Linked DNA regions of Pelodiscus sinensis. The protein of the gene in region 1 purifies or fractionates together with the protein of each later gene. This does not show direct contact. Links are inferred from orthologs where the notes say so. Each region holds a gene or a part of one and is shown on either strand. Other genes may lie near its edges. The genes, in order: PTPN2 and KPNA6.

Evidence for each region.
Region 2: the proteins of PTPN2 (region 1) and KPNA6 purify together in Homo sapiens (affinity purification with mass spectrometry; 3 studies listed by BioGRID and IntAct, with this or other methods). This does not show direct contact. The link is inferred for Pelodiscus sinensis from reciprocal best matches to the Homo sapiens genes PTPN2 and KPNA6.

The regions. Positions count from the first base shown.
Region 1 is NC_134712.1:87,628,779-87,645,559, reverse strand, and holds the start of PTPN2 (tyrosine-protein phosphatase non-receptor type 2), read left to right. Parts: upstream 1-10,539; 5' UTR 10,540-10,707; coding exon 10,708-10,776; intron 10,777-16,781. UniProt on the Homo sapiens protein: Non-receptor type tyrosine-specific phosphatase that dephosphorylates receptor protein tyrosine kinases including INSR, EGFR, CSF1R, PDGFR.
Region 2 is NC_134735.1:3,502,052-3,517,963, forward strand, and holds the start of KPNA6 (importin subunit alpha-7), read left to right. Parts: upstream 1-8,774; 5' UTR 8,775-8,789; coding exon 8,790-8,853; intron 8,854-10,973; exon of another isoform or gene 10,974-11,110; coding exon of another isoform or gene 11,111-11,114; intron 11,115-13,808; exon of another isoform or gene 13,809-13,823; coding exon of another isoform or gene 13,824-13,836; intron 13,837-15,912. Other genes in the region: protein FAM229A, read left to right, coding at 2,432-2,534. UniProt on the Homo sapiens protein: Functions in nuclear protein import as an adapter protein for nuclear receptor KPNB1. Binds specifically and directly to substrates containing either a simple or bipartite NLS motif.

The DNA.
Region 1 (16,781 bases):
ACACCGGAGATGAAGCAGCAGGTGAGTGCAGTGAGGTTGTGTAACACCCGGGAGGGGGGGGGTAGGTGGGTGCACAGTGGGTGATGCACAAGGGAAACCTGTCATGGTCAGGCTGATGCCCAGGTCACACACGGTGTTACCTTCAGAATGTCTGATTCCCCTGTCTCAAGGAGAGGGCATGCCCTTTTGGACAGCTGTTGCACACATGACTGATTGTGATAGAAATGTAGCCGTGTTACTCTGATCTGAGGAAGTGGGTCTGGGCCATGAAAGCTCATCCCCTAATAAACCATCCTGTTAGTATTTTAAGTGCTATATAGTCCAGTTTTTTTATGACTGATTGTGTCTTCCTCTTTTCCTCCACAGCCGGACCAGCCGTGCAAGAGGGCCGCAGCACCCCAGCCCCACCTCCATCTCGGGGACATGGGAGCCGCAGACACAGGCATGTGTATGCGGCCATCCTGAGGCAGCATGTGAAGGCCGTGCAGGAGCTCAACACCATCCTGCGAGAGAGGGCGGAGGCAGAGGATCGGTGGCATGACCGGCTGATGGAGGAGCTGGTCCAGCAGCACACGTCCCTGTGTGCCACTCTCAGGGAGGTCTGCGGCTTGCCTGCTCCTGTGCCTGGTCCTGCTCCTCCAGCGCCCCATGACCCCGCCCCACCAAACCCCCCTTCCACAACAGCAGCCCTTTCCCCCCTTGGACCTCCCTCTCCCCCAGTCCCCCCAGTTCCCCAGCCCCTCTCTCCCCCTGGCCCTCCTCTCCCCCAGGCCTCCCAGTCCCAAGAGCACCTACCCGCTGTTATCCAGCCAACCGACAGGTGCACCACCCGATCCCATGGCCATGGTGGACCCCGAACACGAGGCCCAAGCAGGAGACTGAGATCAGGAAAGCACCGTGCAACCTGATCCCCTTCCCCCCTCCAGGTTTCAAGTCCCCTTCCCCCTTCCAGGTTTCAAGTCCCCTTCCCCCCTCCAGGTTTCAAGCACCCCCATCACCCCAGTTAAATGACAAGGAAAGTGTTAAACAAAATGTTTATTGTACATAGTTTGGCATGAAAGTATATTTTCTACATAAAAAATGAACAAAAGCTTTTTTATGTTTGCAACAGCTATACTATTTTCCAGTGAGTGATATTTAAAAAAATAAAACAGAACTTATTCTTTTGAGACAAACCCTGGTGTTTATTATTTCTCCAAACAGGGTCAGGAGATGGGTTGTGGAGGGAAGCTTCTATTGGGCCAGGGCCCAGTACCCAGGCAGAAGCCCCTCAGTAGAGTCAGTGGCCTCCAATTGAGAATTGCTCCCGTAGGGCCTCCTGTATGCAAACAGCAGACCAGTAAGCCTGGCGGATAGCAGCTGTCCGTGGCTGGGCAAAGTGCCTCTCCTGACCATCAGCACCTGTAACCCACCCTGGTAGGAAGGCCTCCCCTTTCCTCTCCACCATTGTTATGGAGAACGCAACACGCGGCCACCACCTCAGGGATGTTGCGCTCCCCCATGTCTAGGCGTGTGAGCAAGCACTGGAATCTCCCTTTTAAACGTCCGAACGCACATTCCACCTGGTTGCGAGCACGGTTAAGGTGAGCATTAAACTGCTCCTTGCTCGCATCCAGGTGGCCGGTGTAGGGCTTCATCAGCCACGGCATCAGGGGGTAGGCGGCATCAGCCACTATGCACACTGGCATGTGCACATCCCCAACCGCAAAGTCGTGATGCGGGAAAAATGTTCCTGCCTGAAGCCTCCGGTAGAGGTACGAGTTCCTGAAGATGCGGGCATCATGTGCCCGCCCTGACCACCCAACACAAAAGTCAGAAAACTGGCCACGATGGTCGACCGGGGCCTGGAGGACCATAGAAAAATAGTCATTTCTGTTAATGAATTGGGCTGCTCGATGGGGCGGTGCACGGATTGGAATGTGTGTCCCATAGAGCGCTCCTCCACAATTCGGGAAGCCAAGGGCAGCAAAGCCAGCCATGACGCTGTCCAGATCTGGTAGACAGACGAGCCTGTTCAGCAGCTCTGAATTGATGGCCCTCACCACCTGCAGAAAGAGACAGACAACAAAATGTTAGAAGGGGTGCCTTATCTCTTAGGAGGAGAACCCACCACCCATCTTCCCTCTCAAACACCCCGGGAATCCCCTCCTCAGAACCCCCCCCCCCCAACAATTCAGGGTGAGTGGAGGAGCTCCCTCCCACTCCCACTCCACTTTGCCCTTCCTGACAGTCTCCCTTCCCCCCACCCCAAACTGTGACTGTCCCCAGACAATGACTTACCTCCATCAGGATGTATCCAACAGTAGACCTGCCCACTCCAAATTGGTGTCCCACGGAGCGGTAGCTGTCGGGGGTGGCCAGCTTCCGGAGGGCAATAGCGACCCTCTTTTCCACGGGGATAGCGGGCCGCAGGTGGGTGTCTTGCCGTTGCAGAGCCGGGGCGAGCCAGGAACACAGCTCCTGGAAAGTGGTCTTTCACATCCGGAAGTTGCGTAGCCACTCTTGGTCATCCCAGAGCTCCATAACGAGCTGGTCCCACCAGTCAGAGCTGGTGTCAAGCCTCCAAAAACACCTGTCCACAAAGAAGTTTGGAGGCAAGGGCAGTGGGGCTGAATGACGGACGATCCCTTCGTACCTCTGGTCTGGGTCCAGATGGGGAAGTAGCCTCATGACTGTGTCATGCAGATACAGCAACACTTGCAGTATGATGGCTTGGGGCCATCGCCTTCCCAGGGGCAGCTCTGGCTCCATGCCAAAAAAACGGGTCTAAAACAGAAAAACCTCCAAACAAAAAACCTGCTGGGGTGTCCCAGGAAGCTGAGCACTCCAAACCAGCACTGCAATGCCTTGCTTACCTCCTAGAGGGACAGCAAAAGCAGCTGCAGAAGCAGAGCAACGGGTGTTCAGGGACGTCCCTTTAACCACGCGTCTCTACAAAGGGCAGGCAGCAGCACCCGGAAGGAAATGCTGCCCCCATGCCCTGGCAGAAGCAGTTCCGGGTGGCTTTTAATTTCGAAAGAGCATCCAGCAGTCAGGATGCTCTTTTTCGAAAAAGCGGATCGATTTTCCGATCCGCATATTGTAGTCTAGACGCGCTTTTTCGAAAGAGTCTTGCAGTCTAGACATAGTCATAGAGTTCAAAATAAAGTCAATGGATTTCAAGAAGGCAGACTTTAGTAAACTCAGGAAGCTGATAGGTAAGGTCCCATGGGAAGCAAGACTAAGAGGAAAAACAATTTAAGACAGCTGGCAATGGACTGTGACAGGCCACACTGAAGCACAGGGAGTTCCCCTGTCCCAGCTGGCTGTGCAGGCCCTATCCCCACGACCCTGCTGGGCTTGCGCAGGAGGGAAGCTGGGGATAAAAGCCCAGGGAGCCATTCAGTTGGGGCTGACCACCAGAGGGGAAGGAGCTCGGTCTGGAGCTCCTGAACAGCTGTCCCAGGAGCAGCACTAGCTAGTGCAGCCGCCCCAGGAGCAGCACCAGCTGCCACAGCGACACTAGTCAGCGAGGCTGTCGGACTGAGACTGACCTACTGGGCAGTTCGCCCAGGATGATGCAGTGCATTGATGGTGGCAGGAAGTAGCCCAGGGTGGAGGAGTGTCCTTTGGGAGCTCGGTGTGTTCTGGCAGGCATCCCCACCGAGCAGGTAGCAGAGCTAGCTGCTGCCAATAGAATCCTGGGCTGGGACCCAATGGAGTGGGAGAGGCTGGGTCCCCCTACCTCCCCACCCCACCATAATCCAGCTCCTTAGATTTTTGGGGAAGCTCACCTCTGAACTAGGCCGGAAGGCTGCCTACACCCTGAGAGAAGGGAGTGTGTTGGTGACTAGGGTGGAAAGGCCATATATATCCCTGTAGGAAGAAAACTATACTTTGGGGATTGGGCCTATAGGGCCTTATATACCACTGTAGAGGGAAATGCCCTTTGAGGTTGTGCCTGGAGAACCGTATATTACCTAATAGAAAGGGCTACTGTTTGGGAAAGAGCCGTAAGACTGCATATACCCTAAAAGAGGGACATTAGTGATAAACTGAGGTTGGTCTTGTGAAAAGGGAGCCCTAACCCAGATGTTGGGGATTTCTAGACCATTGAGGGGTGGGTGACCCCTCGACATGGATGTTATTAAGGGCGCAAGAGTACACTATTCCAATTTGTAGAAAAGATAGGAAGTATGGCAAGAGACCAACCTGGATTAACCAGGAGACCTCAAAGGCTTTAAAAAATAAAAAGTCATATAAAAAGTGGAAACTCTGACAAAGGATGACTATAAACAAAAACACAAGTATGAAGGGGCAAAATTAGTAAGGGGAAGACACAAAATGAGCCCAATCCAGCTAGAGACATAATAGGTAACAAGAAAACATTCTACAAATATATTAGAAGCAAGAGGAAGCTCAAAGACAGGGTAGGCCCATTGCTCCGTGAAGATGGAGAAACAATAACAGAAAACATGGAATGTCCGAGGTGCTTAATAACTTCTTTATTTTGGTTTTCACCAAGAAGGTTGATGCCTAACACAGTGAATGCTAGTGAAAATGGGGTAGGTTCAGAGGTTAAAATAACAAGTTAAAAATTACTTAGAAAAGTTAGATGTCTTCAAGACACCAGGGTCAAATGAAATGCATCTTAGTGCTCAAGGAGTGGATTGAGGAGATATCTTAGCCATTAGCTATTCTCTTTGAAAAGTCATCAAAGATGGGAGAGATTCCACAGGACTGTCTAAGGGAAAATATTGTGCCCCTCTATAAAAATGGAAATAAGGGCAACCCAGGAAACTACAGACCAGGCAGCCTAATTTCTGTGTCAAAAAAGCTAATGGAGCAAATAATTAAGGAATCCATCTGTAAAGATCTGGAAAATAAGGTGGTACATAACAGCTAGCATGGATTTATAAAGAACAAATCATGGCAAACCAAATCTGATAGCTTTCTTTAATAAGATAAGGGGGAAACGGTAGATGTGAAATACCTAGACTTAGTAAAGCATTTGATATACAATAATTCTTCATTTAACATGTGCCCGCTTAATACATTTTTGCAATAGCATGATTTTTTTTTTAGGGAACATTTTTTGAATTACACGACCGTCCCCGGAATAACATGATTTCCCCAGCAGGCCTGTTGCCAGTGGCTGCGCGGGGCTTCCTCTGCCTCCCTGCAAAGCGGTGGAGGGTTTGCCGCTCGTTGCACTGTTCCCCGCTGATTCCCCTTTGCCGGTCACATTGCTCCCTCTCCTCCACTCCCGCTTGTAGGCCAGCAGCTGGGTTTCCTCAGCTGGCCCGTCACTGGTAGCTGCGCAGGGCTTCCCCCGCCTCCCTGCAAAACAGCGGAGGGTTTGCCGCTCACTGCGCCATTCCCCGGTGACCCTCCCTCCTCGCCGGACGCAGTGCGGGTCCCGGCAGATCCGTCACAGGGGCATACTCCCAGCCCAATCCCCCTCTCCTTCCTTTCCCCAGAGCCAAACACCTCCCCTTCCTGCTGTAATCCAGTCCCTTTTCTCCCGCAACCTTATGTCCCAATCCCAACAGACACCACCACTTGAAACACAACCCCCATCTTTTCCATTATTTTCAATGGGAAAATTGACTCCACATAACGTTTTCACTTAACACGATCATTCTCTGAAACGTATCTATAGTGTTAAATGAGGAATTACTGTAGTCTTACATGACCTTCTTATCAATAAATTACAACCTAGATGGGGCTGCTGTAAAGTGGACACATAACTGGTTGGATTTCCCTTCTCACAGTGTAGTTCTCAATGGTACAGTCATGCTGGAAGGGCATAACAATTGGGGTTGTGCAGGGATCAGTTTTGGGGCTGGTTCTGTTCAATATCCTCATCAATAATTTAGACGATGGTATAGAGAGTACGCTTACATAGTTTGCTGAGGATACCAAGCTGGAAGGGGTTGCAAAGGCTTTGTAGGACAGAATTATAATTCAAAATTATCTGGACAAACTGGAGAAATGGTCTGAAGTAAACAGGATGAAATTTAATAAGGACAAATGCAAAGTATTCCACTTAGGAAGGAACAATCAATATTACACACAGAAAATGGGATGTGACCGTCTAGGAAGGAGTTCTGCAGAAAAGGATCTAAGGGATATAGTGGACCACAAACTAAATATGAGTCAACAGTGTGACACTGTTGCAAATAAAAGCAAACCTGATTCTGGGATGCATTAACAGAAGTGTTGTGAGTAAGACACAAGAAGTAATTCTTCTGCTGTATTCTGTGCCATATATAGAATATATACCTACAGTAGTATGTATATAAGGCCTATAGGCTCAAACCTCAAGTACAGTTTTCTTCCTACAGTGGTATATATGGCCTCAATTGGAGTATTGTGTCCAGTTCTGGGCAGCACATTTCAGGAAAGATGTGAATAAATTAGAGAAGGTTCAGAGAAGAGCAGCAAGAACGACTGAAGCAGTAGAGTTGAAAGTCATAACCAGAGCAGTCACTGCGAGGCACTGTCTTCCCGGAGGCCAAGAATATTGACTTTCAAAGTGCTACATTTGTACTACCACAAAGTTGACCAGGCAAGGTTGAATGTAGCAGTTACTCCTCATGAAAGCTGAAGTACAGAAATTTACTTTAACAGCCTTTAAAATCGATGGAACATACTTGGTCGTGTGGACTCATTGTTAGAAAATCGACCTAAATGCAGCTAAATTTTATCTGAACTCTCAGTGTAGACCAGGCCATAGCTATTGCCTGTAATATGTGTTTACAACAGCAGAGGATGCAAGAGAGCAGGAAAAAACTAGAATGATAATGTTTTCATGTGCAGGGAATCCGACGGGGAGGAGTGCTGGAGATTGCTGAGTAGACTGTAAAGATCCGTAAGTCTAGACCAGGGGTGGGCAAACTATGGCTTGCAGGTCATATTTGACCCATCAGACTTTATCTGTTCCTTGACCTCCTCCCTGGAATTGGAGTCAGGAACTTGCCCTGCTTTAGCCTCGTGGCATTTCCCAGCCCTGACTGTTTTTTAATAAGCACCATCTTCAGGCATGCAGAGCCAGACGGCGCGGATGCAACTGCACCACACTGTTTCCTGGATAAGAATGAACCTCGCTCCTACACAATAGCCCCCCTAAGTGGCAACGTGTCTGATCCCCTCCTGGTCTCCTACAGCCATACCCGCAAGAGCATCAAAACTGCCCAGGGGCCACACGGGTGTCAGCTAAGATACCTCTGCCTGTGGCGGTGCCATTTCTGACAAGGCCCCTGTAGAGCTCTCTTCTGTGCCACTCTCCATGAGTCCCCCACCATCCATTTCGATAACATTCCTTACAGTGTCCCTCAGAGGTGAAAGCAAGTGGGTGTGCCCTGGTGCAAAGCTCCAGCAAGAACTGGCTAAGCTGAGGCAACAGCCAGCAGGGAGCTATTTAAAGAGTTGGCAGGGACCCAAGAGGACAGTACCTGTAAGAAATATTAAGTTACTTTCACTGCTGGTGCTCCTTCCTGTGCCACACCCCCATGAGTACTCTGGCCCACGTCACCCTGAAACACAATTTTCATACCCAGATGCAGCCCTCAAGCCAAAATATTTGCCTGTCCTGGCCTAGACTCTAGGGCTGTGTCTAGACTGGCCAGTTTTTCCGGAAAATCAGCCGCTTTTCCAGAAAAACTTGCCAGCTGTCTACACTGGCCACTTGAATTTCCGCAAAAGCACTGACTTCCTACTGTCTGAAATCAGTGCTTCTTGCGGAAATACTATGCTGCTCCTGTTCGGGCAAAAGTCCCTTTTGCACAAAACTTTTGCGCAAAAGGGCCAGTGTAGACAGCTGAGATTTGTTTTCCGCAAAAAAGCCCCGATTGCGAAAATGGCGATCGGGGCTTTTTTGCAGAAAAGTGCGTCTAGATTGGCCACGGACGCTTTTCCGCAAAAGCACTTTTTGTGGAAAAGTGTCCATGCTAATCTAGATGCGCTTTTCCGCAAAAAAGCCCCAATCGCTATTTTCGCAATCGGGGCTTTTTTGCGGAAAACAAATCTCAGCTGTCTACACTGGCCCTTTTGCGCAACAGTTTTGCGCAAAAGGGACATTTGCCCGAACAGGAGCAGCATAGTATTTCCGCAAGAAGCACTGATTTCAGACTGTAGGAAGTCAGTGCTTTTGCGGAAATTCAAGCGGCCAGTGTAGACAGCTGGCAAGTTTTTCTGGAAAAGCGGCTGATTTTCCAGAAAAACTGGCCAGTCTAGACACAGACAAGGGGTATGTCTAGACTATATGCCTCTGCTGACAGAAGCATGTAAATTAGACATACCGACATAGTCAATGAAGCGGGGATTTAAATATCCCCTGCTTCATTAGAATAAAAGTGGCCACCACGTTGTGCCAGCTCAGCTGTTTGTAGGCACAAATTGGCAGTCAAGATGGGGATCGGTTGACAAGGAAAGCCTTTGCTGACTGATCCCTTATGCCTCGTGAAACACCTGGATGGTGTTGCTAGAAGTTGGTTGTGAAACCTTGTTCTGATCTCCAGTCCATGACCCTTTCTTATGCCTCATGATTCCATCCTGGTAACTATCTCTTGTCTCTGATTCCAACCTGACTCTGACCCTGACTTTGCCTATTGCCTGGCTCTAGTCTATAGAGTACTCAGATCTCTGCTGACTACTGACTGCCTTGTGGCCATCCTTGACTTGTGGACCCACCAACCCAGCTATGATACTATGTTATACCATATACATCCCACCGTTATATTCACCGATACAGTCTCCATACGAGTTTACACCTTCTACAGACCAATATGGTGGAAATAAATGTTTATATATGGTAAAATAGACCATGTCAGTGTTTTGTATCCCTGCCCTTTCATCAGCCTTACTCTTCACAAAAATTTGAAGCATGATCTTGATCACCATTGGAAAACAACAACATTAATATAGTGTGTGTGGGGGAGGGGAGGGGGGGTGAGAGAGGCAGAAACAAAGTGTGAGGGCCAGTTAAGATATATCTGCCTAAATTAACCATATCTCCCACAAACAATTTTTTTTTCTTTCTGCTCAACAAAAAACTGGGAATCTACTAACATGCAAATTAGATAAGGCTGAGTAAAGAGTGGCCTCTTCTATTTTGTGCCCTTCCATAATAGCTTACGAAGGTAATGGAACTTCAAATTCTGAAAAGCAGGAAACACAGAGGCTATGTCTACATTGGCATGATCTTGTGAAAATACTCTTTAACGCAAGAGTTCTTGCGTTAAAGTATTTGCACAAGACAACGTCTACACTGGCATGTACCTTTGCGCAAGAGATGTGCTTTTGCACAAAAGCATCCGTGCCAGTGTAGATGCTCTCTTGAGCAAGAAAGCTCCAATGGCCATTTTAGCCATCGAGCTTTCTTGCGCAAGAAATTCATGTTGCCTGTCTACACTGGCCTCTTGCGCAAGAACAGTTGCGCAAGAGGGCTTATTCCTGAGCAGGAGCATCAGAGTTCTTTGCGCAAGAAGCACTGATTTCACACATTAGAACATCAGTGTTCTTACGCAAGAACTCCCCACCAGTGTAGACAGGCAGCATGTTTTTGTGCAAAAGCGGCCGCTTTGGCGCAAGATCATGCCAATGCAGACACAGTCAGAGTGAAGGGATACACTAACATAACCTTAACTCTAGTCTCCTGGAGCTGATCATTGCCACTGGAAATTATCTGCATATGCTCCAGCTATATTATGTGGAACTGGATACTGAATGAAGGGATTAGTTGGAGCAAAATGGTAGAGCTGTGATTACATGAGGAGATCTGGGAGTCCCACCTTTCTTTAAACGTCTGACACCCATTCCCTCTCCCCTCATCAAGTGTGATCTAAGGAAAGATGTGCAAGGGCATTTTGAGATATTGTCCCATTTCAGTGCTGATTTCTGAAGGTGGTACCAGTACCTCAGTACAAGCATTATCTTATCACAGTGCAGAGGTGAGCTATGACAACGACCTGCAGGTGCAGATGGGTAAGTGAAGACAGCACCAGATGGCAGAAAGAAGCCGTAAAGTAACCAGGAGTGGTGCATTTCTGCAGACTAGGCTCAGGGTTTGCATGCAGGGCAGGTGCATGCTGCTCCTGGTCAGAGGAGCTCAAGCCCAACCCAGCCGCAGCAAAGAGTGTCTCAACTTCGAGCACTCCCTCGCTGTGCTCCCCGGGGCACGCGCCCCGTTTGCAAAGGTAGCAGCCGCAGCAGGCACACGTGGGGGCCGGAGCAGGGTGCCCGCAGGGCAGAGTGAAGGAGACGCGCGCGCCGGTCGCTTGGCACGTTGCACACTTCGCCGCCGGGGGTTTGTCAGCCAGTCATACGTCACAAGACTCCGAGCCCGCACGCGAGGCACAGGCGGAACGCAGAGGGGCGAGGCTGACCTCGCGCCACAGCATCCGGGCCGTTATTGCCCACTCACCCCGCCCTCTCCCCACCTGTGCGCTCCCCCGCCGTCCCCCCAGAACGGACCGTTACGTCAGTCCAGGTGCTTTCCCTGGGGCGGAGTTTCGAGCGCCCCAGATAGGCGGAGGCTAGTGGTTGGTTGGGAGTGCGCATGCGCCTGACGGCGGCGGACGAGCGAGCCGCCGACTGTAAGGCAGGAAAGCCGGAGCGCGCGGCGGGCTGGGGCTTGCGCTCGCCGCCGTTCGTGCTCCGGGCGGAGGGAGCGGGAGGTTATGAGCCTGCCGGACTTCAGCGGTCATCCTCGCTCCGGCCGCCGCCATGGCACCCCCTATAGAGCAGGAGTTCCAGGATATCGACACCGTTAACGACTGGCAGGCTCGCTACCTTGTGAGTGAACGCGGGGCTCCCTGGATCGGGAGGGGAGGAGGAGCAGGAGGGGAGGACGGGGCAGTCGGCTCCGGCCGGCACGCGCGGCTCTTGTCCCGTACTGGGAAGCGGAAGTCGTTGGGCCACAGTTTGATTTCAGGTGCGCGCAGCAGCGCTAGCACCCGCTGCCTCCTGGAGCGCTGTCTGCGCATGCACCGAGAAGGGCCGGCAGAAGAAGGGGAGACTTGCCCCTCTAATACGCATGTTCAGTAAAGAAGAGGCACTTGGGACTGGCAGGAGCACGCATGCGTCAAATGCGGGGGGGGTAGGCGCGGAGTATGAGGAGCGTGCTGGTTGTAGTGCGCATGCGCCAGCAGCCCGAGGCGCTTTAACGTGCGCACGCGCGTTTTAGTTAATTTTTCGTCTTTCTCCCTTTTCACTTCCTCGACTGGCCTCCTGGACTCTGCCTAGCGCCGCGCCTACGAGTGGTTGTCACGCTGCTCTGCCGGGCGCCTCGTGCCCTTCGCGCGCGGCTCGCCCCCTACGTCCTGGGTTTCGCTCTGCGGGTCTAGTGAGCAGTAGCTATGAAATGCTCTCGGCGTCGCGGTGGTCTTGGTGGAGACTGGTGCTGCGGCATTCATGTTCCTTGATTGACAGCAGAGGTGGGGAAACCTCTGGCCCCCGTGTGCCTACATCCGGCACCCGAGGCTCAGAGCTCCCCCAGCTTTGGGGAACCCAGCACCGCCCTACCATAGTCTACTGCCCTCTTCCCCGAGCTCTGGTGTGTGCGGGGAATGTGGGAAGTGGCTTTGTCTGTCTTACTTAGGGCACGTCTGCACTGGGGAGTTGTTTCGAAAGGCGAGCATCCACACTACCAAGCCTGTTTAAAAATAACACGCCCATTATTTTCTAATAACTCTAGCTTGTGAAGAAGGTGATAGTGTGGATATAGCCTCTGGGACCACTTAAGTGAGGGGTGGGTTTTTGTTATTGCTTTTCACTTGTGTGTAGCCCCCCAACTGACTTAGAACCTAAAAATGGCTGTACTGGGTCAGACCAAAAGTCCATCCAGCCCAGTATCCTGTCTGCTAACAGTGGCCAGCAACAGGTGCCCCAGAGAGGATGGACTGAAGACAATGATCAAGCGATTTGTCTCCTGCCATCCCTCTCCAGCCTCTGACAAACAGAGGCCAAGGACACCATTTTATCCCCTGGCTAATAGCCTTTTATGGACCTAACCTCCATGAAATTATCTAGCTTATTATTTAACTTCTGTGGATGAGTGGCCCCCAACCCAGAAAAAGTTCCCCATGCCCTGGTTTGCAGCATTGATTGCTTATAAAGGTTTAATGGCATCCTCAGTGGAAGTACTTCACAGGTTATCCTGTTACTAGAATTTGCATAACTGCCTTTAATGCCCTAGGGCAGTGGTTCCCAAACTTTTTTGGCACCATGCCCCCCTTTTTGTTTTTTGAAAAACCCTCAACCCCCCCAAATAGCTGCAAAACTTGAGCGCAAAAAAACCCAAAAACTTGATGGGGGTGGGGGGCTGGGTCGCCTCGCACACACCCCTGGAATTTCTTCAGGCCCCCCAGTTTGGGAACCTGTGCCCTAGGGCATAGTTGCTCTGATCCAGGTGACCCATCTTTGCTAATAATTTGTGCTCATATCCTTTGTTTTATAAAACCTTAATTCAGCTATGCAAACATTGCTAACCTAGTGTGCCCAACAACTCACAGATCTATTGGATGTTAGGCCCCTCTTACAAATCAGAAATATTCAGCATTAAGTGAATGTGACTTGCCTAAGGCTACATACAATTCTCTGGAAAGTTGGGAATAGATAGCAGACCTGTTGCCTTTCTGTTACATTGTGCTGTGCTTTCATTCTGTTGAACTAAAATTTCAACATACTTTACCCTGAAACACTATATTTTAAATATATATGCAGGTTAGGCACAATATCTAACAGTGAAATAATTCCAAGGCTTGAGTTAAACAGAGCAGATGATAAACTAAGCAAAACTTTACAGATGGCAAGTGTACCAGTTCTGTAATCAATATTGTTTACTGTTACTAGCAAAATGTATGCAGAATATTGCATAGTGTATGTCCATAATGTGTAAATTACCTGGCTTAAACCATTTTAATTTTATGAAAATACATCTGTTATAGTAAACTCACATGAAAATGTAAACAAATTCTGTAAGGCTTTTCAGTTACAGATTTTCTGTTTTAAATTTAGCTATATTATGTAACTTTAATGAGAATAGATACCTCCAAATTCTGCCATTCTAGGTTTATGCTGTGGAGTGTTTTCACTTATCTCTTATGAGCAATTTTTCATTTATCTGTGCTTAATATGTTTTAGATGTAATATTTCTGAAGTCTTATTAAATAAAATATAAACCAAGGAGATTATTGCTTCTGTGTCGCAGAAACTATTTATGCAAGTATTTGTATTGGTGTGAGTTCACATGAAATTAGCACATATTTAAGTCCTCAATGATTAAAGTAAAGTATTTTCTTTCTGCCCTCCCACCCCATATTGTTGGGTAGTGGATATTGAGGGCAAGGGAGACTATAATGCTCAGGGAATTCCCAAGGAGAAATTCATGGATGAAAGAAGGTGGGATTTCCTCCCTTGTAGAGTGAGCCCTGCAATTGCATGGGCTTGTTGGTGTTGAGAAATACCATGGATCTCTAGGAATAGTTCAGGAATTTCTATTAGATATATTAAAAAACGGTAATGTAACCATTACAAAAAAAAAGTGGCAGTTACACACTGTGGGCTCTGCAATGTAAAGCTTATTATACGGCAGAGCTTGCATTGGGGCCAGAAGCCAGTGCGTGCCAGGAGCTTGCACCTAGCTGCCGGCCCCACTCCGAGGAGCCAGCTGTGCTGAGGACTCTGCAGTATAAGCTTTATACTGCAGAGCCCACAGCGAGAGGCAACAGCCAGCTTCCCGGGAGCAAGACCGGCACACTGGGAGCCAGCTTACCAGCACCCAGCTTCTGGCCCCGCTCCCAGGGAGCTGGCTGCCACCCTGCGCTGCAGGGTCTGATACAGAGCCTTCAGTGCTGGCTGGCAGCCAGTTCCCTGGGAGCAGGGCTGCGAATCAGTGTGTAACCCGTTATGGGAATGGATAAGATCATGATTATCAGGTAACCATTTAAAGTTTTTTAAACTGTTACTCTTGCATTCCTAATTTTCCTAGAAGATTGTTTTGTGCTGCTACTTGGTCCATGCAGTGATGACTACCTGATTAACATTTGTGGAGTTGCTGGAAGATGATGCCTCTTATTACACCTGCACTGATTGTGCCCTTCACAGTTGTGGAGCCAAGTTCTAAGGAGGGAGCATCTGTGATATTGGTGTGATTTCGTTGAGCTCAACTCACCTCCAACAGTTTTTGGGTCCTTGTAATTGTGTTCTGTTAGTTTAACCTCTGTGGTATGTCAGAGAGGTTAGTATATAAACATACATACTGAGAGAAGGGATTAAAGTAATACATTTGTATTTTATTACTTGATAAATAAAAGGTTTCCTCTGGATATTTTTGTTTTAACTTTGGTATTTCTAGTAGATTGAGCTGTTCCAAAATTATCATTAAGTTGTGTGTGCAATTTTAAATGCACACATCTTTAAGATACTTTTTTAAAAAAAAGTGATGTATAGTTTCCCATAATATCACTAATGCATAAATGCTAAATTTGTTTATATGTATTGATACTTCAATAAAAGTGAAGATCCTATTCACATGTAATAGGATCCAGATTCATTTTAGGTTGCAGTTCCACAGAAATCATTTCTGATTATGCCTGTTTTCAGAAGGAGCAGGGGAGAAGGGCTCATTTGAAATGAGGATGTGCAGAAGGTAGATAGAGTGAAGGAAGCCCATGAGGCGATTACAATAGTCAAGGCAAAGAATAGTCAGGACCATGGCAATTGCTTTGCTGGAGGGAAAATACAGGAAGAATGTATTTTGAGTTATGTAGGACCTTGTCAGAAGTAGCAGCAGCACTGGTATGGAGAAAAGATGGACAAGATGCTACTTCAAAATTTAAAAACAATTACAGGCAGTCCCCGAGTTACACGGATCCGACTTATTCCGCAGTTACGAATGGGGCTTTTCTTGCCCCGGAGGATGGGAGCGGCGGGACACCCCAGCAGACCAGGCTTTTCTCGCCGACGACGCCTGGGGTAGAGCAGCTGAGGAGCGGCGCTGCGGGGACCTACCCGGCAGCGCCCCAGCTGCTCTTTCCCAAGTGTCCAAATTCAGCTGCTGTTGAAACTGATCAGCGGCTGATTCCAAGAAGCCCAGGGCAGAGCAACTCTGCCTCAGGCTTCCTGTAGTCAGCCGCTGGTCAGTTTCAGCAGCGGCTGAATCTGGACACCAGTTCCGACTTACATACAAATTCAACTTAAGAACAAACCTACAGTCCCTATCTTGTACGTAACCCGGGGACTGCCTGTATTTATCTCAGACAATTTCTGCGAATGGTACTCTAGCCATCTTTTCACCTGGGGAAGAGAACAAATACAGCCTCTAATACATCTTGGCCACAGGGAGAGAATGCTTGTTTCAGAGGGTGGAGGGACATATAAGCAGAGGAGGCAGACATTTTAGACCTGATTCTGATCAACAGAGGGATTGCTTGTGAATCTGAAGCTAGAAGGCAATTTGGGTGATAAAACTGGTAATTCCTAAGCAGAGGGAGGAAGGAGTAGTAGAACAAGGACAACAGATTTCATAAAAGCAGACTTCAACAAAACAGAACTGGTAGATACAATTTTCGGTAAGAACACCTAAAGGAAAACGTGTCAGGAGAGCTGGCATTTAGAGATTAAAGTGGGGGAACTGTTTTTGGGTCAGGAGTCACTGACCCACAGAAAAATCAGTTGGGGAGCCACACTAGGGGCAGGGTTAATTCTTCTGGGGGCTGGGTTTCCCTCTAGGACTGGGTTGGTAAATTTGTCAACCCTCCCCCATTTGGCTCCAGGAATGGGGCCAAAAACGATGGGGTCAGTGTACAGGAGGGGGCTGACAGGAAGTGGAGTGGAGAGGGAGTACTGGGTCTGGGCCAGAGGTAGGGGGCAGGAGTGAACAGAGGTTGGGTGTCTGAGAAGGAGATTGGGGACAGGAGATTGGGGTGCTTACCTGGTGCAGCCCCTCTTTGGTTGTAGACACTGTCCCCTGCTGCTCCCATTGGCCACCATTCCTGGCTAGTGGAAGTGATGGGAATGTAGCCTGCAAGCAAGTGCAGGAAGAGAAATTCCCTATGCTGCTGTTCCCCTCAGCTCGGGGGAAAAGGGGCAACAGGAGCAGGCAGAACCACTTCCTCTCCCCCCCCCCCCCCCCCCACCAGCCAGAGCCAGCCACACAGGAGCTTCAGCACTTACTCTCTGCTGTTTTCCCCCGCAGTAGGGAGCCAGCACTTGGAGACTCAGTGTGGGGCTGGAGCATTAGCACCAACTTGCCCTGCTGCAAGGAAAAGCCCTGACCCTCACCACAGGCCAGATCAAAGCAAGCCAGGGGATGGATCTGGTCCATAGTTTTCCAATCCCTGTATTAAAGGTGTAATAGTAGACTACCCAGGAGAGAAGGAAAGATTGGAAAAATATTAAGAGGCTAATGTGGCTCCATTAAGAGCTCTTAAGTTCTCTAAAAATCAAAGGGAATCCTACAAAAAGTTACTCCTTGGAGAATTGTATGCCAAAAAGATGAAAAAAAAATCTACACACAATTTTAAAATTCTGCATTTCTTATCGATAAACTAGGCAAATACAACTTAGATGGGGCTACTATAAGGTGGGTGCATAACTGGCTGGGTAACTGTTCTCAGAGAGTAGTCCAGGGTTGGAGCGCACTCAGAAAAAAGCTGGGGGGTCCATGCTCAGTAACTCCTCCCCTGCCCTACCAGAGTTTCTGGAGCAATGCAAACAGCTCATTTGCAGTGTTCAGGCTCTGGAGGGGAGAGTGGGGACTGATTGGGGTGCTTGGAGGAAAGAGGCAGGGTGGCTGA
Region 2 (15,912 bases), on another chromosome or scaffold:
GCTGTCCCGGACATCCCCAGCAGGCAGGGCAGCTGCATGGCCTGGCTTGGAACTCGGCGCCTGGCGGGCAGAAGAGTTTGTTGCCATCTGATTGGGCCCCAGGGCTGAGCTGGGGCAGGGCCGGATTAAGAAAGGGGCTTTAGGGGCAGCTCAGAGACCCATGCTGGGGGGACATGGGCTGCAGCCACGAAGGTCCATGTGTTCCAGGTGAGGTGGGGGGAGGAGGCTTGGGGTGCTGCATTGTTCCTCCTCCAACACCCAGCGGGAAGCAGGTTGCTGCGAGCCCCAGGAATCTGTCCCCGCACTGCCCTGGCCAAGAGATTCCTCCCCCACTGCTCCCTATGGCCGGAAATTGCAGCCAATGGGAGCAGCAAGCGGGGGGAGGAGGGGCCTGCAGGCAAGTGCAGGCCACATGGAGTCCGCTGTTCCCCCCCCCCCCCCCATACACACCAAATGGGAGCTGTCCCTGGTAAGTCTCCTGCTTCAGCCCTGAGCTCCTCCCCAATCCTGCTCCCTCTGAGACCCCCACACTGCACCCCAGCTCCTGCACAGCTCCCACACCACCCGACTCCGGAGCCTTGGGGGCCCCCAAGATCTAACAGCCCCAGGCCCCCAGAAGAGTTCATCCGGCCCTGACCTGGGCACCGGTGGGCTAGTTCTTGTGCAATGGGCTGAGGTAGGGCTCTAAGTAAAGTCCAGATGAGGCACCGGGTTTGTTGTGTCCCCTCCACCAGGGAGTGAAGGCTGGGGGCAGACTCAGAGCGCCGAGGCCAGGCCGGCTCTCTGTTAACGCCCCAGCAGACTCCCTGGGCTGCAGCAGCCGTATCCTCTCGCTCTCCTGGGGGCTCAAGCCTGCGACCGTGGGTCTTCCTGGTGCAATTTCTCTCACGGCCTCACCCCTCGTTCTCGCTGCTCAGACAAGGGCCATGTAACCCCCTCCCCGCCCCCCGCTGCAACTCTGCCGACTCTGGAGGAGTCAGAGCTCCAGTCCATTGCCCTGTAGGCTGCAGCAGGCAGAGATGCAAGGGGGAGCAGGCTCAAGCGGGGGACAAATTGGCGGGGCCTGCTGGCTTAGTGAAGGGGACCTGCACAGACCCCTGTGGGCCAGAGACACGGGTTAGGTCATAGAAACAGCTGGGTGCAAACCAGATGGTTCTTGCTTGGCGGCAGCACCACAGAGGAAAACATTAAGCTGGGGTCAAATAAGACATTTTGTTTGTCTGTTGAGCCTTTTTGATCTTTTTAAATGAAATTACAGGAAATTTTGGAAGGAAAAAGGTTTCCAACGGAAAGGCTTAAACATTTCATTAAGAAAATGTCAAAACAAAACATCTGGGTTAGGGTTGCAAATGGTTAACCAGTTAATCAGTATCACCCTGCTGATGTTTACCAGTTATGGTTAACCGGTGGGGGCTGGAGCATCCCTCTACCCGTGGTAGTCCCAGCCTGACCTACCACAGACAGGCTGGAGCAACCCACCCGCCCCCCCGCCTCTGTTTAATTGGTTAACCAGTTAACTAACTAAATGGATTTTTACATCCCTGGTCTGGGTTTGTCTGCATGTTTTTTTCTTCCCACCGAAGCCATGTGGCAAAATGGACAGGAATTCACAACACGGTTCGGTGTCCCAGGAGCAGATTGTATCACCAAAAAATTGCAGGTGAACGTTTTTGCCTGGCTCTGTCTAACCGAATGGTCCCGTCTTCTCTATTGGCCGCTGGCCTGGTGTGCAATCGCTGGACAACAACCAATCCTGTAACAGGTCTAGGGTAACCGGCCGTTCGACTGTAGCCTTAACCCATCTGTGGCTGGGCCGTGCCCTTTGCCTCTTACTAGTTTATAGGGATGAGTCGGGGGCTCCAGTGGAGCATTTCTGGGCAGTGAGCAGCAGGCAGAGCCGAGGGGCCCCCAGTGCTTCTATTACTGTCCGGAAGAGGCTCTGCCCTGCCCTGAAGGCCTCCTCCGTTAAACTACCAGCCCTCAAGGGTTCGCCGCCACCCCGTGGCCGTTATCTCTGCAGGCACATGGTCTCTCTGCAGGCTTTGTCCCAGCAAGTGTTGATTTCACCATACAGGACCCTTGGAAAGAAGAGCCTTTGGGAGTTTTTGTCCTTTTCCCACCCAGAGATTCCTAGGGCAGAAAATTCTCATTTCCTGCTTGGGGCTGCTAAAAGCGGACAGGGAAGCTGGACTTAAAAAATGTTGTCCCCTCCCAAATCTTCCCTCCCTGCTAAAGCCAGAGGAAAAGAGCCCTGACGTGTTCAACCAGCCACATGGGTTCTGAGCCCTGGGGCTTTTGGGATCTGCACCCCTCCCGATAGGTAAATACGTCACCATTCCGCCATGCACCTGGGATGCTGAAGGGCTCGATGTATGTGGCTTTGCACAACCCTTGTAGGAAGCCGAGCTAAACCCTCTCTCTTGTTCCGCAGGCAGCTGAGAAGATGCCCCGGGTGCCACTGCCTGACTTTGCCCAACGTTCCCATTGACGTGTACATTGCCATGGGCGGGAACGGTAGGCCACGGACCACCTAACGGTTCCCCCACGTTAGGCCCGCGCGCTGAGGCCACTGGGGTGGTCACCTGCAACACCCTGACAGCCGGAGAACAGCAAAGGACACCGCCACACCAAACAGTGACGCACATTTTAATAAAAGGACATCTTAGAATTTTCTGTGGGCGTCGTTCCTTGGCTGCTGCTTGGCTCACGGCACTGCCCCGGGCAGTGGAGTGGGGGTGGAATGACCCCCCCCCAAGCAGGAATTTACCCCTGTTGCTATGTGATCCTGTGGGCCCAGCGCGTGGGGAGGGGTCACAGCAAAACAAGCCATTCAGGAAGGGTTTGCGGGAGGAAGGTGAACCAGTAACGTAAAGGGTGATGCTTATGGGGTAAGAATTAACCGGGTCCCAGGAACAGCCCACCTACCACCGGGCTGACATAGCCCCTGCCTGTGGGGGGTGGGAGTGGTGCAGCCCAGCTTTGGCAGCTGACTCATATTTCGCTTTTGGGGCTCCCCGCCCCATTCCTTTCTGCAGGACTCCTTCCTAGACAGTCACTTCCCATTCTGGATTGTTCCTGTGTGAGCGGAGCACTTTGCATTTGGCCTTATTGAATTTCATCCTACTGGCCATTTCTCCTGTTTGTCCAGATCATTCTGAAGGGAGGTTGAAGTTGGACGTTAGGAAAAACTTCCTACCTGTCCGGGTGGTGAAACACTGGACTAAGTTGCCCAGGGGGGTTGTGGAATCTCCATCCCTGGAGAGATTTAAGAGCAGGTTGGACAGACACTTATCAGAGATGATCTCTAGACCAATGGTTCCCAACCTGGGGTCCACGGACCCCTGGGGGTCTGCGAGGGTATTGCAGGGGGTCCATGGAAAAATTAAAGGTAAATAAAAATAGAAAATATTTTTTAAATAAATTGAAAAGTTACAATGTTGTTTTTAAATTAAATATTTTCCAATAATGTTATGAATTGTGGTCCAAAAATCTATGTTGTGGCGCCTTTGTGTGACGAAACGATCATGACGGTTAGAAGCGTACACACGTTAGCCATACGTTCAACATGGATCTGTGGCGAAATCCGGCTCGCTGAAGAGAAAGGAGACTGAGCAGAGTGAGGCATCCACAAGTGGAACAGCTAATCAAACAGTAAAAGTGAGAAAATACCCCACTACTAGAATTGAGGCTAGAATTGGCTTTGATGGGGGTCTGCAAACAGTTTGGGGGGAGTGATTGGGGGTCTGCAAACAGTTTGGGGGGAGTGATTGGGGGTCCGCACTAGTGAAAAGGTTGGGAACCACTGATCTAGTTCTATGATCCTATGAATTATGACCCTGTCCTCCAAAGTACTTGCAACCCCTCCCAGCTTGGTATCCTCTGCACACTTTATAAACATACTGTCTATGCCAATATCTACATTGTTGATGAAGATGTTAAACAGAACCAGTCCCAGAAACGATCCCTGCAGAACCCACTCATTACGCCCTTTCTTGTATTTCCTTAGTTTCTTAATGAGGTCATGTGAGACTGTATCAAATACCTTAAGTCTAGCTACACCTCCTCTACTGCTGCTAAAAGCAGACAGAAGCTGGACATAAAAAATGTTGGTCCCTCCCAAATCTTCCCTCCTTGCTAAAGCCAGAGGAAAAGAGCCCTGACGTATACTTAGCTACACCTCATCTACTGCTTTCTCCTTGTTAGCCTGTCAAAGTATCAGGTGGTTTGACATAATTTGTTCTTTACAAATCCTATAAGCGTGGCTTGTGTTTTATTTTGTAGAAACAACCAATTGTGCACAAAGAGCAGAGAAAATTCAGCTGTTTCTGCCCAGTGACTTGCAGGCTTCCTGCAGACTGGAAAAAGGATCCCCTGCGATCGGCACTATCCTCAGCCCCCGCTAGGGATGTGAATGTGTATCCATGTACAGCAGGCATGTCAAACAAGCCTCCGGAGGGCCTCATGCGGCCCAATCAATATTTTTTGCGGCCCGCCACTACATTTTTATAAAAGAATAAAGTGCGTCCTGCTGGCCACTCGGAGCACGTGGCCAAGCGCAGATCACAGCCGGCTGACCGGCCACTCTACGCTCAGTGCTGCAACTACTGCTCTCGGCCGGCCAGGCCGCTCGGAGCTGGGTGCTCCAGCACGTGTTCACGACTGGCCAGCTGCTCTGCACAGGCATCAAGTGCCTGCTCACGCCACCCCAGCACCTGAGGAAGGAAAGTGTGGCGTCGCCAGCGACTCTGAGACCCAGACATTAGGTTGGGGGGGCTGGGAATGCCTGGCTCTGGGGGAGGTGGGAGGCATTAGGTAGGGGGGGCCTGGTTTTGGGGGAGCAGAGAGGGATTGAGTTAGAATGGGGGAATGGGAGTGCCTGGCTCTGGGGGAAAGGAGGGGAATATTTTGTTAATGTTTTGTTTTGTATTTATTTATTCCCAAATAAAATCATAAAATGTATATCAATAAATGTCAATTTTTTGCAGTTGCACGAATAATATATATTTATCCAAAATGTCAAACTTACAAAGTATCTGAAATTTTCACAGAAGCCTGTTCTATTTGATTAAGCTCGGTCTATACTTGTTTTTATTTCCACAAAACAAGTTATGTATCATACAAAATTAAAAAGTACCTTCAATTTATATTTAAATTAAAAAAATATTTTATATGGGCAAATAACAATTTGACACATCAAGTGATTGTATTATATTAAAACAAGACCTGAAAAAGTATAAAATATGCCTAAACCATGATAATAAATCATTATGACTTTCCAATAGAAGCACATTTTCTTTGGTGGCCCTGAAAGCGATCAGTTTCCGTTTGTGCGACCCTCAGTAGGCTTCGAGTTTGACATGCCTGGTGTAAAGGGTAAACTGATGAGCCTCCACACAGCTGCCTCTCTACTGATCCGCCTGCTCCCCCTTCAGCTGCTGCCTTTAATACAGAGGCAGCAGCCCATGGTGGGAGCTGGAATGCACAGGGAGCTGGCTTTCATACTGGCTCCCTGCATGTACTGGCTACCGCCAAGCTTAATATCCTCCCCCCTTCGTATCAGAGGCAACAGCATGGGGGGAGGGGCAGGAGGGAGCTGGTACATGTGGGGCGCTGTCTTTAAGCCAGCTTCCAGCATGTGCTGGCTCCTATGAAGCCACATGCCCTTCCCCCCACTGCTGCCTCCCACAGAGGCAGCGGGGCTGGGGGGCAGGTGGGAGCTGGTGCCTGCCCCCTGCGCTGATGCCTCCGATACAGAGGCAGCATTGGGGGGGCAGGTGATTTTAAAGCCAGCTCCCCATGAGCACTGGCTCCTGCCTCCCCCCCCCCACATTTTATCATCCCTAGCCCTCACCTGTCCCAGTCAACTGGGCCACTCTTGGGTGACCCCTTGTCTCCGTTCTCACTTGCCTTCCCAGGCTGTGTGCCACTGAGCCAGGAAGTGGCTACCTCAGCTCTTGAAGCATTTGTAGTGGGTGACTGAACTTGCTAGATGTCGTTTTCACCGAGATGCAGCAGGTCTCTGGATTTCCCCTGGCCCTACCTGCCTGGCACGAACTGGCCGTCTGGGAGCCCCACAATAAAACTTTGCTTTTAAGCCCTGTGTGTTCATCTAGTCAGCGGCGAGAGTCCAGTGTTCTGTGCCCTGTGACAGCTGCCCCGCGACGCTTTGCAACCAAGGAATTCTTTCCTGCCAACTGCGAAATCTCTACGGTTGTCCTTCACTCCCTTGAACAAGCTGGCTTGGAAAATGGTTGAAGCAAACGCTGGACCTGGGACGGGTCTTTGCTTTAACTCAGGGCTAGCCCGGGGTCGGGATTTTAATGTTTAATCTGCAATATCGGAGGGGTTCTGCTTCTCTTCTGCCCCAGATGGAGCCTTACAGCTGTGCAAGATGGATGCAACCAGCATTCTGATTTGGAAGCAGTTAACTGCTTTGCATAAGGGTCAGTGACACACGCCGGGTGAGAGGACGGGGCGGGGGGAGGGATCAGGGACAACCCGCTGTTCTTGACCTAAGAAGCCTCCAATGAAGATGACAAACAGCAGTGACACACGTCGATGGTACCTATGTAACTACAGGTTGAACCTCTCTACTCCAGCACCCTTGGGGCCAAACCAGAGAATTTGCCCAACCACAAGAGGCCAATATTATCTAGCACAGGGGTGGGCAATCATTTTGCAGTGGGGCCACTTTATTAATTTTGGTAAATGGTCACAGGGCGGCTCCACCCTGGAGTGGGTGGGGCTTGGAGTCGAAGGGGTGGGGCTGGGCACTAGCCTCCCCCCCCCCCCCCCGAGTTGTCTGGGGCTGGAGGCTTTGAAAAAACCACAGCAAAGGGCTCAGGGCCCCATCACTACTGCGTTGCCTGGCAGCTGCCCAGGGTGGCTGGGACTACAGTAATTCCTCATTTAACACTAGAGAGATGTTTCAGAGAATGATTGTGTTAAGTGAAAACGTGTTATGCAGGGTCAATTTCCCCATTGAAAAGGTGGGGGTTGCATTTCAAGCGGTGGTGTCTGTTGGGACCGGGACATAAGGTCGGGGGAGAAAGGGGACGGGGTTACAGCAGAGAGGGGAGGTGTTTGGCTCTGCGGACGGGAAGGGGAGGAGAAGGGAGGGGGACTGGGTTGGGAGCATGCCCCTGTGACTGGTCTGCCGGGACCCGCTCTGTGTCCGGCGAGGGGGGGTCACTGGGGAACGGCGTGGCGAGCGGCGAACCCTCCGCCACTTTGCAGGGAGGCGGGGGAAGCCCCACGTAGCCGCTGGTGATGGGCAGGCTGGGGAAACCCAGCCGCCGGCCTGCAAGTGGGGCCAGAGGAGAGGGGGCAAGGCGTCCGGTGAGGGGGAGGCAGTGAGGAACGGCGCGGTGAGCGGCAAACCCTCCGCTGCTTTGCAGGGAGGCGGGGGAAGCCCCATGCAGCCACTGGCGACGGGCCAGCTGGGGAAATCGTGTTATTCCGGGGACGGTTGTGTCATTCAAAAAACGTTCCCTAAAAAAAAAAAAATCGTGCTATCGCGAAAACGTGTTAAGTGGGCACGTGTTAAATGAGGAATGACTGTATTTAAAAGGCTCAAGGCTGTGACCTCTGCTGGGATAGTGCTGCGACTGGGAGCTATGAGCCATTTAAATGCATCCTTGCTGCCTGAGCCACCGCCTGGAAATTTGGTGGTACGGGCGGCAGGATATAAATAGAAAGCAGCCAGATGCAGTGCGCGGGCTGGATCAAAGTGTTTGCGGGCCGCCTATTGCCCAGCACTGGTCTAGCAGCATTACCACCACTTCCACTGCTGTGAAGACATGTAGAGGTAAATTAGAGCTACATCACAGCACAGAGCAGAGCCAGGGCTGGTGGCTGTAAACAAACTTTATGTGACCATGGAAAACTTGGCCACACCCATGTTAAGTGGCCATCCGGCTAACTAAAATCATGCTGGGCCATGGATGTTGCCAGACCAGAAAGTGCCGGACTGGAGAGGTTCAACGTATACCAAACCATTCTTCTCAAGGAACAATAATAGTTTCTCAGGATTTTTGGCTGAGGTTTTTGCTGCCCTTCCTCTAATTCCTTCATGCCAATCCTGCCCTTTGTCCATTGATCGGCAAGGTATTTAACTGGGAATCTCTCAGGGTATGTCTACACTACCCCGCTAGTTTGAACTTGCAAATGAACTAGCTGTACTCCTCATTCCACGAGGAGTACAGCTAGTTCGGATTAGGAAGCCTAATCCGAACTAGCTACTCCGTGCCGCGTGTAGCCGCGCGGCACGGGGTTCGAACTAGCCGGGATTTAAAAATGGCGGCGCCCGGTTTATGCAAATGAAGCCCAGGAAATTCAAATCCCGGGCTTCATTTGCAAGTGCGGTATGCCTACATTACCCTCCTAGTTCGAATCACGAACTAAAGCAGGAGGTGGGTAAAAGAACAGAGACCAGCCCCCAGCCCGTCCACGTGTGTTTTAAATAATAAACTACTGAGGGTTGATCAGCTGGAGCTTTATCTGCGGGAACTGTCGACTTGTGCTCCCGTCTCCAGCAGTGTAGTGGTGAAAATTGCTGGAGCATGTGAGGCAAACGCCAAGCGGTTAGAAGACAGGATGTGGAGCTGACCCGTTCTGTGTCAGGGACCATAAAATTTTCCTTTGGCACAGCCATTCTGCCATTGATGTCTGGCTGGTGGAACTCTATACACTGTCATCACGGCGTGCTCCTCTCCAAGCAAAGCGAAAACTGGAGTGACTAGATGGCTTTTTCTTCCCTGTCCTGTGGCGCCGGAGGCAGAATCACCTCGATGCTGATTTCTTCTCCCAAGGGTGGGGAAAGGGAAGTGCCCCCAGCCACGCTACAAGTGGGTGGTATGTGACTTATCTTTGGCGGGGCTGTGACAAAATGAAAGCCCTTCGTTGGGAGTGGCCGAGCAGCCAGGGCTGGAGACATGGGCTGATAGGCAGGAGAAGGTGCTGGCAGCAGCTGTGCCTCATCAACAGCAGGGCCGACTTATCCATTAGGCACAGTGCCTAGGGCTCAGGATACTTTTAGGGGCTCACGAAAATGTTTTAATTTCTTTTAAAATCAGAAGAAAAAAAATGAAACTTTTAGGGCCCACGAAAATCTATTACATTTTGCCTAAAACAGAAAAAAAATAAAACGTTGAAGTATTTAAAGTTGTATCAAAAATAATTTTTAATATTTTTTTTTTTTATGGAGGAAGAGGCCCACAAAGGCAAAAGTGCCTCGGGCCCTCGAAAGTCATAATTCAGCCCTAATCAACAGGAGGGAAAATAAATTCAAGGCTCCCCATGGGACAGAGTGTGTGGGAAGGAGGAGGAGAGTTCCTCCCGAGCAAATGGGGACAACAGCTGGGTGGTCTCCTTTGTCGCTTCCCCCACACGCCTCTCCCTTTGAAGATGAGAGGAACACAACTGGGAAGGTGCTGCCTCCTCTAACTAGGGTGAACATTCCTAGGAAGAATTTTATTCTAGACAGGTTCTGCCCCACTGTCAGCCACGTCCTCTTCTCTTGATTAACAACGGGAGAACAAACACCAACGGGCGCCATTTCCCAGGGTTTGGCTGTTCCCGGGGCTCTTTCTACAGGATGCCCTCGAGCTCCCTGAGAAATCACTCCCACTGCCCTTAGTGAATCAACAGGACCCAGTTAATCCTTTCCCAGCAGGATGGATGCTGCTAGTGTAACCGCCGCCGGGCGGGTTTGAATCGGGGGCTGACTAGAGGAGCCTCCACCCTCTGAGCTAAAAGCCAGCTGGCTCCCAGCCCATGCTGTAGAGGTCTCTTGATCTTAACTGTTGCTGTGGTCTAGGTACCACTTGCATTGCGCAGTAACCACACTAGGTGTGTGGGTTACATTAGCATACCACGCAGCTGGTTTTTTGGGGGGGTGGGGGAATCACATTCTATGTGCTCTCCAGCATGAAATCATGCTCCTACCTAAGGATGTTAAATTACGGTTAACTGACTAGTCGATAGGCACTTTCGCATTCCTCCTGAAATGGACAAGAGCCCCAGTGGGGGCTCTTGTGCACTTCAAAGACACAGCGCCCTCATGGAACCTGGGGTCATCGGGGGACTTAGAGTCCCCCGCTGATCCCGGGCTCCACCACTCTGCCCCTTTGAATGAACTCACAGGGTGGGTGGCATGGGTGGGGCGGGCGGGAGCAGGCGCAGAGAAGGGGTGGGTGGCGTGGGCAGGGCGGGCGGGAGCAGAGGGTGGGTGGCATGGCCAGGGCGGGTGGGGGCAGGGCAGAACAGGGGGTGGGTGGCGTGGGCAGGTTGGGTGGGAGCGAGAGCAGGGCAGGGCAGGGGGTGGGTGGCGTGGCCAGGGCGGGTGGGAGCAGGGCAGGGCAGGGGGTGGGTGGCGTGGGCAGGGCGGGCGGCAGCAGGGCAGGGCAGGGGGTGGGTGGCGTGGGCAGGGCAGGTGGGAGCGGGAGCAGGGCAGGGCAGGGCAGGGCAGGGGGTGGGTGGCGTGGGCAAGGCGGGTGGGAGCGGGAGCAGGGCAGGGGGTGGGTGGCGTGGGCAGGTTGGGTGGGAGCGGGAGCAGGGCAGGGCAGGGCAGGGGGTGGGTGGCGTGGGCAGGTTGGGTGGGAGCGGGAGCAGGGCAGGGCAGGGGGTGGGTGGTGTGGGCAGGGCGGGTGGGAGCGGGAGCAGGGCAGGGCAGGGCAGGGGGTGGGTGGCGTGGGCAAGGCGGGTGGGAGCGGGAGCAGGGCAGGGGGTGGGTGGCGTGGGCAGGGCGGGTGGGGGCAGGGCAGGGCAGGGGGGAAGCAGGTGGCAGGTGGGCGGGAGCAGGGGGACCAGGCTGGCTCCCAGGGCGTGGCCCAGCCCTGCCACCTCCAGCCCACGGGCGCTATCAGGCCTCGGCCTTGGGCCCCAGCACCAGCCGCCGTGGCCCCGCCCCGTACAGCTCAGCAGAGGGAGGGAGGAAGCGCCTCTCCCCCCTCCCCCCGCGCTGTCTCTGCCCCTTTAAAGGGCGGCGCGCGCGGCGGGGAGGTTTGTCCCTTCCCGGCCGCCGTTCCCTTCTCTCGCTCCCGGCCCTCCCCCGCCCCCGTCCGCCATATTGTGGCCGCCGCAGCTCGAGCCGGAGCCTGAGGAGCCGGAGATGGGTGAGCGGGGCGGGTGGGGAGGCCGCGGCGGTTCCTCTGCGCCCTGCCAGCGGGAGACTCCGGCCCGGCGGGTCCGGCCGCCCCTTGCCCTGCGGCCCGGGCCCTGAGCCCGCGCCCGTCACCCGGGTCTCGGAGCGCCGGGGTGGGGCTACGCGCCCCTGCTCCCGCCGGCCCCCGGGGTGCCTGGCTCGAGGGGGCGGGTCTGCCCTGTGGGGGGGCTGGTTCCCCCTCCCCCTCCTCGGGCAGTGGCCGGCGGGGGGCGCCGCTGCGTCCAGCTGCCCTGCGCGGGGTGGGGGGAGGCGGCTGGCGGGGCCCCCGCTCCCCTCTGCCTGGGGACACTTCTGCTTATTCATGCCGAGCGCTGCCTGCCCCCCCCCGGTACCTGCCGGCCCCCCCGCCCCGTCCCTGGGTGGAACCCCCCCCCCCCCAGCTGGTGGGCTGTAGCGAGAGCCCTTGGAACAGCCCTCACACGGGACCTCTGTGCGAGGTGCCCCCCCCCCAGCCTTGTGCCTCGCAGCTGCGGGGGGCCCCAGGGCCCGAGGCAAACACTGCCCCCGCCTTTCACTTCTTGAGTTTGCGGTGGGTCTCTTGGCTGGTGTCTTCCACCCCAGAAGTGGCGGCGGGACTGCCCCTTTCATCTTGAAAGGAAGGGGCTGGATCGTGGCTTTAAATGTGGCTCGGCCAAGAGTATTTGGTTCGGCTTCTTTATCAGCAATACTTGGTAGATAGGAGGAGAAAAAGATGGACCACAGTTGTACTTTTCATGGATTTTGGGGGGATAGGAATGTTAGGCTGGTATGCCAACTGTAACTTGCACAAGGTGGGGAGGAATCGTGTGTGTGTGTGTGTGTGTTTTTAACCAACTCTTTGGAGCCGGGTATTGTCTACTGGGACCTTTGCCACCCCTAAACAACACTCAGTGTATGTATGAAGATTAAAACAATAAGATTCTTGCTGTCTGCTACTTTCTGCAAAATGATGCTAACCCCAGTCCCTTCCTCTCATTGAACAGAGGAGCTTCCATACTTCCTGAAGGTCGGTGGACCAATTCTCCCTAATCCATGGCATGCCAACTCTGTGTGGTTTTTACCAAAGTCCAGTTCTGAGGCAAAACTTTCACTGTGTATGTGGGCTCAACCTAGGACTGTTTCCTAGCGACTTAGTAGGGAAGAGAGCCTGAGGTCAGCCAGGAATGAGGCTTAAAAATGCTGCTCTGTTCTGCAGCTGTATTTTATCTTGAGGAGCAGACTTCTGCTCATCTTCACCAATGTGGGGTTTTGTTGATGCCCTATTCTTGGCTTCCAACAACTGTTTTAGTGTAAGTGTTTGTGGCTTTGTAGCGTTGCTCTCTGAGCAGCACAAAGAGGAATTACTTTTCTGGAAACTGAACTATATAGCTTACCTCTCCTGTCTGTAGTACTATTGCGTTATGGTTCTTGGGTTGGGGCAGGGGAAGCCCTGGTCTACTGGATGTCAAGAAAACCATTCCAAAACCTTCTAGCCGCACAAGGTTCAAATCCAGCTGTTGCTAGCTAGTCTTCATCCATCCTGTGAATATGGCCTAGTATCAAGTCCCTCCTTAATGAACATGACGGGATCTTGAATTACTTTAAATTTTAATCTTCACAGAAGCTGATTAGATTAGTAGAGGATTGTACAGAATGGAATTCCACTGATTTTTGGTGATGGAGATGCCACATGAGCTGGTGACTGGAGAAAACTGAACTGTCTCCGTGGGCCTGTCTCAACAGCCCCCTCTGCTGTGTTAGAGCATTAAAGTTTTGCAGGATAGTGCCACAGTTATGTTGCCCATATCTAGGTCTTCCATGGGTAATCGGGACCAAACTGTTATAACATCGCTATTAAAATGGCTATAAAGACTGTTTTAAACACTAGCGATTTTAACGTGTAGTGGACTATGTGATTGTTAATCTTGTTGACTATATGCATCCCATCCCTCCCTTGCTGCTTCTGATACAGAGGCAGCAAGGATATGGGGGAGGCAGGAGCTGGTGCCCGTGATGTGCTGACTTTTAAGCCAGCTCCCACAAGCACTGGATCCTGTGGAATTGCTCGGCCATGCTACTGTCTCTTGGAGGCAGGAGCTGATATGCATGGGGAGCTGGCTCTCTGTACATTCTGGCTCTGTGGAGCTGCCTTCCCCCTACCTCTCCTTTGCTGGCTTACATAGAGGTAGTAGGAGTTGGGAGGGGGCAGATGGGAGCCAGTGCTCAGCTTTGACTCTGCGTTCTAAGCCTACACCAAGGTGGCCAGCCCACAGCTTGCGAGCTGCATGCGGCTCTTCATCCCTGAAAGTATGGCTCGTGAAGCCACCCACGTACCCCTACAGTTGGCCCCTGGTCCCCTGTACTCACCGAGTGTAGGGGAGCTGTCCGGTGTAGCAAGATGGTGGTGGCCAATGGGAGCCTGACGTGGCCAAAAAGCCTGCCTGTGGTTTTTAAAGGGGCGGTGTCTTTTCTCAACTCTGGCTGTTGGGGAGCTTTTTTTGGTTGGCTCAACAATTTTGGTGCGGCTCTTTGCATTTTTTTTTCTGTCGCTGTTTCGGCTCTTCATTTAATGGGTTGGCCACCCCAGTCCTACACGAATAGACTGTTAAGGGAGCATGGTATGCTGGGACTGGACAGTGGGGGATGGATCACTTGAACGGAAAAGGGCAATTATCATTCACTCTGAAGCCTCTGGCACTGGATGCTGTTGGAAGGTAGGATATGGGGTTGGATGGTCCGCTGGTCTGACCCAGTAAGACTGTGTTCAAAAGTCAGAAAATGCCATTAAGGTAGGATGGTGTTAACTCTTCCTCTTCAAGCATTGTACCGATAGTCCATGTATGTTTGTCAAATATAGTATTACTGTACTATTGTAATGTGTGCAATGTAGAGACGAGCTCAGCAGATGGCTCTTTGCTGTGCTTGTTGGGCATATAAATGTTATTGGACTGTTTATTTAGCATACCAAGTTTAACTAGATGGGTGGTTGCTTGATTGTATGCATTTTTCTGGAGCATTGAACATGTGTTTAGTAATGTCATAATTGATTGTGTTTTAAAATAGTGCAATAAAAGTAGGGAAACTAATATCCCCATTTAAAAACCCTTTAGTTTTTAATTGTAAGTACATTTCTATACAAGGAAGCTTGGTGTGAACCTAAAATCTCTTATCAGGAGAGAGAAAAGCTGACTCCTCAAGAGCACATGTTAGCAAATATGAGTATCCCAGGACTTTATCTACCTCATTGCCTTGAAACTTATCTTGCAAGAAGGCAATCTGGAATAATGCAGTTGTCATGAGCATTTAAAACAGTGTCTGTTTGATTAAGTCAAATGCTTAATCCCCTTGTTTAAGCACTTACTATAGAAACCTAGCTGACCTTACCTGTGGCAGTATTACACATGGTAGATTTTCAACTCTATTAGGGATGTGACAGTGTAAACAATTAATTGATGAGTCTTCACTGTTACTTGCAGACCTCTTCTCTCCCCTCAGAGATGGGGGGGGCGGGAGAGAGACTCTCAGCAGGAGCCTGTATGTGCAGGGAGCTGGCTCCCCTCACATGTAATCACTGAAATCTACACTTTTTACCTGAATATGTGCATTTTAACATCCCTTCCTGTGCTGGGGAGCTGCTCATAACATACAAGGAGAACTACATTGTAGGTGCAAAGGGTTCTGAAAACATCTGACTTCTGGTTGGGGGTGGCTTGCAAGCAGAACTGAAGCTGGAAAGGTGTTTTTTGGCAGTCAGCTGAGGAATAGATGGCTACCTTTACATGAAGGTATGGGGAGAATAAAAAATCTTAATAGGATTGAATTTAGTGAAAAATGCCTGCTAACTTCCCAGAAGAGAACTCTTTTCTTTTCTCTCTCGCTAAGCCAGCTCCATGAGTAGACTGACTGCATGTTCCAGTAATGATGTCACATCACTAGCTTCAGATAGCTAAAACAGAAGGGAATGAGCCAATGGTGACTAGTGTACCAGACAGCCAAAAGAATTGCGTGGATAAGCGTTTTACTAGCACAGAACGTACTGTGTGCAAAGCACACAGCTATGGGATCAAAAGCAGGCTATGCTAAGAAGTTTTCAGTATTCACTCTATATATTTTTTTTTGTTAAACATTCACGAACATGTTTGTTTCAGTTAATACCTACATTGAGAAAATGTGAAGGCTACACAGTCAAACACTTAAAACAGAAGATACCTAAGTTAAAAGAACATTCTTAAGTCATACTCTTGATGGAGTGTTTTCCCTATTGGTGTTTGTAAGTACTACTTAAAAATAGCATAACTAAAATCAGAACTTTTTTGTTTAGGTAATCTGTGCTTCTGAGTAGTTTCTAGTATAGTCAATATCAGTGGGTTTTTTCTTGCATAGTTAGTTGACTTTCCCTGCTGTTTCATGTCTTCCACAATGAGACAAGGTCAACTTGAGAAAAGGTCACAGTAAAATTGAGGATGATATTGGGGGACTGAAAGGCAGGGTCAGTACTAGAAACCACTTTTAACTAGTTATCGTTGATTTCATGTCACTGCTATCCTTTTAAGGTGTTTATGCAACACTAACTCTACCCCTTTGTGGGTGCATTATGACAACTAAAATACAACTTGTTTTTTTTCCTGAAGTTGTAAACATCCTGCAAACTCCCTTGGTTTAGTTAGGAACTCTTCAAGAAGGGAGTTCCTAAGATAAATGTTGACAAGTCCTTATCTGTAGCTGCTGCTGGTAAACCTGTTTGTGGAGGAATCTCTTTGCCAGCTGCTAATGTAAGAGACTGCTCTATA